Elephas maximus indicus: one gene and its partner. The protein of the gene in region 1 purifies or fractionates together with the protein of each later gene. This does not show direct contact. Links are inferred from orthologs where the notes say so. Each region holds a gene or a part of one and is shown in the gene's direction. Other genes may lie near its edges.

What was found. Proteins that work in one complex are often made in the same cells at the same time.
Region 2: the proteins of NUP133 (region 1) and SEC13 purify together in Homo sapiens (affinity purification with mass spectrometry; 4 studies listed by BioGRID and IntAct, counting the BioPlex papers as one, with this or other methods). This does not show direct contact. The link is inferred for Elephas maximus indicus from reciprocal best matches to the Homo sapiens genes NUP133 and SEC13.

Annotation. Positions count from the first base shown.
Region 1 is NC_064821.1:210,143,791-210,147,538, reverse strand, and holds the start of NUP133 (nuclear pore complex protein Nup133), read left to right. Parts: upstream 1-752; 5' UTR 753-934; coding exon 935-1,116; intron 1,117-2,011; exon of another isoform or gene 2,012-2,278; intron 2,279-2,793; coding exon 2,794-2,912; intron 2,913-3,748. UniProt on the Homo sapiens protein: Involved in poly(A)+ RNA transport. Involved in nephrogenesis.
Region 2 is NC_064838.1:35,210,327-35,214,074, reverse strand, and holds the start of SEC13 (protein SEC13 homolog), read left to right. Parts: upstream 1-812; 5' UTR 813-914; coding exon 915-917; intron 918-3,526; coding exon 3,527-3,571; intron 3,572-3,748. UniProt on the Homo sapiens protein: Functions as a component of the nuclear pore complex (NPC) and the COPII coat. At the endoplasmic reticulum, SEC13 is involved in the biogenesis of COPII-coated vesicles.

The DNA of each region.
Region 1 (3,748 bases):
TCCAGCAAAGCACAGGAACAGAATTTATCCCACCAATCCCCTCTCAGACATGACTACTCTCCATTCCCACCGTGCACTCCCAAGTAGGAATGAAACCAGGAGGAACTGCTCTGGGCCATAAGACTCAAAGACACGCTGCAAAGCTGGGCTATAATCCTAGGTAGGAGGAGTAAACCAGTTTGCTTACATAACTTCGGCAAGATGACCAAAGACGCTATTAAGTTGCACAGAAGAATGATTTCCCAGGGAAATATCACCATCTGACACCCACACTGTGGTTTCCCACATATGATACGCCAGTGTTTACTTAACTATTACCTTACTTCAGCAAAAATTTAGGGAAGGTTTACTATGCACCTGTTGTAGTGTGCACCGTCCCTGCTTTGAGAGACAGTTAATGAAAACATTAAACTATTATGAGGATAAAATATAAATGCCCCACGTGCAGGAGCAGAGGGGCAAAGGATAAAAGGACACCCAACTCTGTGTAAGGCTTCAAGGTGGAGGCAGCAGAGTTGGGAAGTTCCACTGGTTTTCCAGTTTGACTCCCCTGCATGATCCGGACGCCCGCCGCACTGGCCCAGGAAACTCCGGCAGCAACCCTAAGCCCCCACCCGCTAGAGGACTCCGCTCCAGGGGGCTCGGCCCTGCGCCTGAACGTCATCAATGGCCGCCACTCCCGGTCAGCCTCCAGGGGCTCCGAGCACGCCCCGCGAGCTCGGCGCTGCGCTTAGACGTCATTAACGGCCGCCGCCCCGGCCCAGTCTGCTCGGAAGGCTGCGGCTCCCGCAAGGCCCGCAGGCCCGGCTCGGCGCTGCGCCTGGACGTCATCACCGCGAGTCCTCCCGCCCCTCGGTGTTCAAGCTCCGCGCGCGCCGCGTCTCAGCCGCACAGGCCGGAGCTGTCGGGCTCCCCGCCTCCGCTCCCTCGCATCATGTTCCCGGCTGTCTCTTCCCCTCGGACCCCCGGTCCCGGGTCCCGAAGGGGCCCGCTTGGCGGGATGGGGCCAGGCTCCACACCCCGGGCGGCAAGCAGGAAGGGGCTGTCCCTGGGGTCTGCAGTCAGCTCCCCCGTGCTCTTCTCGCCGGTCGGCCGGCGGAGCTCGCTGAGCTCGCGGTAAGTGTTCCTCCCCAGGCAGGTCCGACGACCGGTCGGCTCAGGGGTCTCGGTGGGTCCAATGGGGTAGTGTCTCCCCAAGCCTCTGGAACCTTGGGCGGAATTCCACAATATTGGGAAAATAGACCTTTTCCGCTCTTACCAGTTGCTATTTCAGCCCCCCCTTGGTTAATCCATCAATTGAGAACGACTACAGTACACCATGGCCGGGTGTACACCATTGCTTTTCACTTTTCGTGGAAATTACTTTTGTGGTGAAGAATAAAGTGAATTTGAATCAGTGATCACCCCTCTCCCCCTTACTACCTCTGTGACCCGGGGTAAGTCACTCGGATTCTTCTCACTAGTGAGATATCTGACCTGGAGCCTGCTTGACTAAGGCCAAGGGAGTCCTGAAGTGCCACGATGCAGATGTGATGGTGGTACTGGGGACCTCCAACCCTAGAAAACCATTCTATAGTGCCTAACATCCTAGGCCGTTAGTACCTCTAATAACTAAAGGGCTTTTAGCTACAGAATTTCACTTTGTAGCTAAATAGGGAAAAGGCTTTCCATAAGGAATAAGATAATAGTAGTTTTCTAGCCAAACACAGATGTACAACAGCTGTCCACATCCCCCCCTCCATGTTCATTAATCAAGCTAGAACTTTAGAAGAAAGTAGTATCTATTTCGAAGTAGTTTCCTCTGAATTTGTCTATTAAAAATGAATTTTTCCCCTGGAGGAAAAATGGTAATGCTGGGTCTGGAACTCATGGCTAAGTTTTATGTATACAGTGTTGGCAGTACTTTAAAGGAGAAATGATTTTTAAAGAATGCGTTATAGCCTTGACTTCTGATGCTTGATCTTGAAAAGTGCTTTTGAAAGTGATGTCACTATTTTCTGTTCCTTTTTAGAAAAACTGGAGAATAAAAGCTGTTTTATTTAATTAAAAAAAATCTCTTACCATCTGTTGATCGTTCAAAGAAAAATCTTGTTATAATACTTCTGTCAAGAAACAAAGCCATTCTAGCTATAGACCACTCTATGTGCCTCTCCTCATTTAATCCTAAGAAGAGATAGGATAACTTTTATAATGGTGGCTTTACATCATGATTCTGAATTTGAAGAAGAGAGTGAGAAGGGAATATAATTCTACTGCTATATCTACTATTGAAGACCAGGTAACTGCAGATGCTTGCTGCACAGACCTGATAGGTTCTTAGAATTTTAGAGCTAGATGAGAGCTTACTGATCATCTAGCACAATGTTTGTCAAACTTTTTGACCACAACATGTGATAAACTGTATGTATTTATATATATATATATATATATATATATTTTTTGGAAAATATGTTGACTGATACCCTTAAACTGACCTGCATTTTGAAAAACACTGATCTAGTCCAGCCCTCCTATTTGACAGTTAAGGAAGCAGAGTTATAAAGACTTTAAGTGACTAGAGGCATCTGTCCAATTACTAGAGCATAATGGTCTGAAAAGCCAGGTTTTCCTAAGACCCCGATAGTATTTTTTTTTTAACAAAAATTACATTTGATTACACAAGTATGCATAAGCCAGAGTTCTTCCCATTGTCACGCCTCTTCTTCCATGTGTCTTATTTGTCAATGAACTCTTTAATTAGAAATTATATACATGAAAATTTATGAATAAAGTAATGTGATTGCTTTTCTTTAGAGGAACACCGACACGAATGTTCCTGCACCACTCCGTAACTGAGTCTATGAACTATGATGTGAAAACGTTTGGATCTTCTCTCCCTGTTAAAATTATGGAGGCCCTAACGTTGGCTGAAGGTAGGTCTCATCTTTCCATTTGCCTCTATTACCAATTCAGCATGAAGCCTAGGTCTGACTTGATGATCAAAATTTATGTATTCTCTGGTTTACGTATACCTAAATGGAGAGAAACAGGTAGTTGATCTAGTTTTTCACTATCATTGAGAAATGTAATAAATTTGAGGAGCAGAATGAGTTTATTCTAGCACAACCAAATTAGGTCTTTGATGGTTTCAAATACTGCATGTCCAAAATTCAGTTCGATTTCAAGAGTTACTTAAGTATATGAAGTTTAAAAACAAACCAGTCATTTTTGGATTAATGATGCTGTAAAATCAAGTCCTACCTCCATTAGATCATATATATCCCAGAGTCTGTTCACACAAATCAGTGATAACTACCAGTGTGGTTACATTTAGAAGGTTCTGTTGACAGAGAATTAAAGTGGAAGTTGGGAAGACCCAGTGAGCATACGGCTCAGAAAGGCAACATTAAGAGTGAGGGGTTGGGTGCCTGGAAGAGCGAAGTTCAGAGCATCTGCCTGAGTCATTGTTTTTAAGGATTTAATGATTCTAGATCTTTGTGATTTTCTTCAGTAGTGTTTTTCAAACTGTAGGTTGTGAGTGAAACCAGCTTGGTGGTTTGTGGCCAGCATTTTAAAAAAAATGAAATAGAAAAGAATGGGAAATATCAGCATGCATCTCCTATAGTAAGGTTAGGTAACTTTTGTTTCAGTTTTATTTAAATTGTGTGTAAGTGCATCATGCTGTCAAATGTGTTTCATACCCTGAATGGCAATCAAATAAGCTTACGGTATTCCATTGTAGAAGAAGGACTATTTCTCATCAACTCGA
Region 2 (3,748 bases), on another chromosome or scaffold:
ATCTTCCCTCAAGCAGTGACTGTCTCCAGCTAGGGTTCTTTTCCTCACGTTCAAGGGAGGAAATTGAAGGATTGTGACTTATCCAAGGGGAGCATAGACTCCACTCTAGGTCCCCTGCCTCCTTCAAGTCCCGAGGTGGCTTAAGGCTGGGCCTCAGGCTCTGGCCAGAAGCGCAGCGTTTCTCCCTGTGCCTGTGGGGAGCCCTCAGCTTCCCTCCTTTGGGCAGCGGGGGAGCGGGCTGGAAAACTGGGGGCTGGGTCCCGGGCTCTAGCTGCAGGAGCCTGGCTTCTCCTTGCCTGGGGATCTACCTGGTGGGCCAGACTCCTGGGTCCCGGGACTGCTGTGGAGAAGGAGCAGTTTGGAGGCGCAGGACCTACGGCTTGGGGAGGGCGGGGCAAGAGGTTTCAGCTTTTTTTGCCCCTTGTCCCAGCCCTTGGTCCTGAGGATGGGCTAACCAAAAAGGGAGGCTAGCACCAATCTACTCACCCCCGCCCCCAAATTGTTCGACCTACAAAGTTCATCATAAGGTCGCACCCAGAACCGCAGGGAGGCTGGAAAAGCTGGAGTTAAGGATCCTTTCTTTCATTGATGCGTCTGAAGAAAAGGGAAGGGCTGCTCAGGAAGGTAGGCGAGACAGAGCTTCAGATTCCAAACGGTCCCGGGTCAGGAACGCCGTGGAAACCAGAGCCGTCCCGCCTTGGCTTCCCGAGGACGAGGCTAAGGGGCGGGGCAGCGGGAGGGCGGGACGCGGCCTCGGGAAGGCACGGAACCTTCGTGGGAGCCGGAGCGGGTTGCTGCTCGGAGGCTCCTGAGCCACGGCCCGACGGCCTGCCAGCCGGCGCCGGAAGTGGGGCGTTCGGAGGTGCCGCCGGGAGCTGCCACGTCCGAGGCCGGGAGCTGCCGCCGCACCAGCCATGGTGAGTGTCGGGGCCGGCGATGCCGAGTGGGGCTCGGGCCCCGGTCGCTGTCCTGACAGAGCTGGCCTTCGCTGGTCCCTCGGCCGCGCTGAGGCTCCCACCCGGGCAGGGGTGATTCCAGCCCCCGCCGCCGGTTCGGGGTGGGGGGATCTGGCGGAGGAGGAGGCCCGCGTGAGGCCGCCGGCGCCCCGGAGCTCTGCGGGCCGCGCGGCTGCCGCGTCTCCCCTTCTCTCCTCAACAATTAAAGACAACGACAGTGCAGCACGGCAGCTGCTGTTCCCCCAGCGCTCAGTCAGGTCCAGGCGTCGCTCGTGACGGCCGCGCGGCGAAGGACGGCCTGTTACTATCGACGTTGTGCGGACGAGGAAGTTCGCGGCTCTGAGAGCTGAAGCCTCGTGCACGGCTGCTGAATGGCAGAGCTGAGACTCGAACCCCCTTAGCCATTCCCTCTCCCAGCAAAGATGTCTGTCGACTTTCTGGGTGCTGGGTCCCCCGAAGGTACCCCAGCTGCGAGGGACACTGCAGGAAACTGACGTAGGGATGAACTGAAGGACTCCGAGGGCAGGGCTGAGTGTCCTATCTCCGTGCTGTCCACGGTGTGCACTCGCGCGACGCGTCCTCGTTGAGGGAAAGACTGGATGGACGAGAGCTGAGAGCTGAAAGCATCCAGCCTGAGCCCGAGTCTGGCCCCGAGTGGGGATTCAGTAAACGCAGGCTGTCAGGAAAGCGGCTGCGCTTCATCAGCAGGCATGGGGGAGCCAGCGTGGACCCAGAAGTCAGGACACTGGGTTTAGTTCTTGCTCAGAGGGGAAGGCTCAGCCTTGGTATTAAATCGCCGGCCTCTTTTGGCCTCAGATTCTTCAGCTGCTGGTCTCTTATGCTCTGACATTCAGCTCATTCTAAATGAATTTTTAACTCATTAACTGATTCTGAAGAGCTGAATTGTTTTGCGTGTTGCCTCTTAAAAAGGACCACATAACTCCAGGTGCTCGGGAGGAGGTACTCTCAGAGCTTTAAAAAACACAACAACACTGGTTCAGAAGCATTGTTAACCAGCCCTCGCTAGTGGATGAGAGCGGTTAGAAATAAACGCTGGTTATCTCTAAGGTCTTTTGATGATCTGGTATAGAACTACTTCCCAGTAAACTTTCTTCCTGAATCTGTTCAGCCTTCAGCTATTGGATTTAAGGGATGTTCTAAATAGGCAGCCTGATGGAGTGGGAAGCTTTGTGGGCTGGGAGATAGGAGATCGGCCTTGATTCTAAGCTCTGTGGCTGTAGCAAGTGCTTTTCTACTCTAGGCTTCCATTCCTTAATCTGTTAGACAGCCCTGATTAACTCTGTCTTTCGTACATCCCAGCACACACGTGAAAGCTCTTCGTAACCTAGACAACTCTGCACACACAGGAAACTCTTCTTATCGTCCTTACTTCTCTTCGCAGACCTTGTGCACCCACTTGTTAGGGAGTCTAGCATTTGATGAAAGAACCTGGGCTCTTTTGATGTGTACCTTTTGAGCTGCTTTGCAGCCGTCCTCTTCCAGTGTCCACCTTTCTGAAAAGTCAAGTCAAACTTTATCCCTGCAGGGCTTGTGCAGGAAAGATGAAATAGGGGAAACGGTTAGAAATATCAGTTCCAAATTGAAACTTCCTTTTCAGTGCCCTTTTCCATCCTAAAAAATTTAAAGAATAGTGGTCAGTTTTGTTCACTCATTTATTCATTCAGTGAATAGTCACTCAGTTCCTTCTGTTTGCAGACACTGTGCTGGATGATATGAGGGGGTTAAACATGGCAGATGACTCAGACCCTGACCCCAGGGTGCTCACCTTCTAGTGGGGAGAAGAAATAACATGGAGTGTTGTAGACATTCAGTGCTGAAGATATTCAGAAGAGTGCACCTAGTTAGAGGATCTGGGAATTGTCCAGAAGGGGGTATTATTTGAGCTGGACCTTGAAACATGGGTAGGAAGGCAAAGACCATGACAGCCATCTTCTAGCCCTACAAACTACTCAGTCCTAGACCCCATTAGGTGATAGCCTCAGGTCTGTCACAGGTGATGGACCAGGGAGCATCCTCAGAAGGAATTTGAATCAAGTCTGCAAGTCTTAGGTATGAACCCTGTTATACAGAAACTGCCCAGAACATCAGGGCTCTGTCACCCAATAAGGGAACCAATAAGCTCTCTCAAGGTCCTCCTCACCTCAGTGGTTGCCTGGACTGCTTGCTGTTCCCCTACACACATCAAGCTCTTTCACACCTCTTTGTCCTTGTTCATATTGTTCCCTCTGTCTGGACTGTCCTTTTTTTCCCCTGTGCCACTTGGCAAATTTCACTCATCATCTAAGCCCCGGTTCATGTCTTCTACCACCACCACCTCGGCATCTACTTATGCCACGTTAGGGTTATTTTATGTGAACTTCTCAAGGGCAAAGAGTACCTTTTATTCATGTCTATGTCTCCAGTCCCTGGCATAGTGCTTGGCAAAAAGAATGACTGTTAAATGAATGAACAAATGGCAGTCAAGAATTTTAGAAACGGTTGGTGGGTTTAATAAGAAGATTGCATTCTAACTGCCATCAGTTAATTTACCAAAAATATTTTGCTTCTAGGTGTCAGTAATTAACACCGTGGATACTTCCCACGAGGACATGATTGTAAGTATTCATTCAGCCCACCCACAGAGGTTGTGGACACGGGCACCTCTGGGGAAGGGACACAGTTTGTGTTTTTCATTACTCCTTTCTATTGATCATTCATGGGCCAAGGTGTGGCTTTGCAGCCTTCTGCCAGTTAGGCTGTAGCTGTAGAGGGTATAGTCAGCCCAGACATGT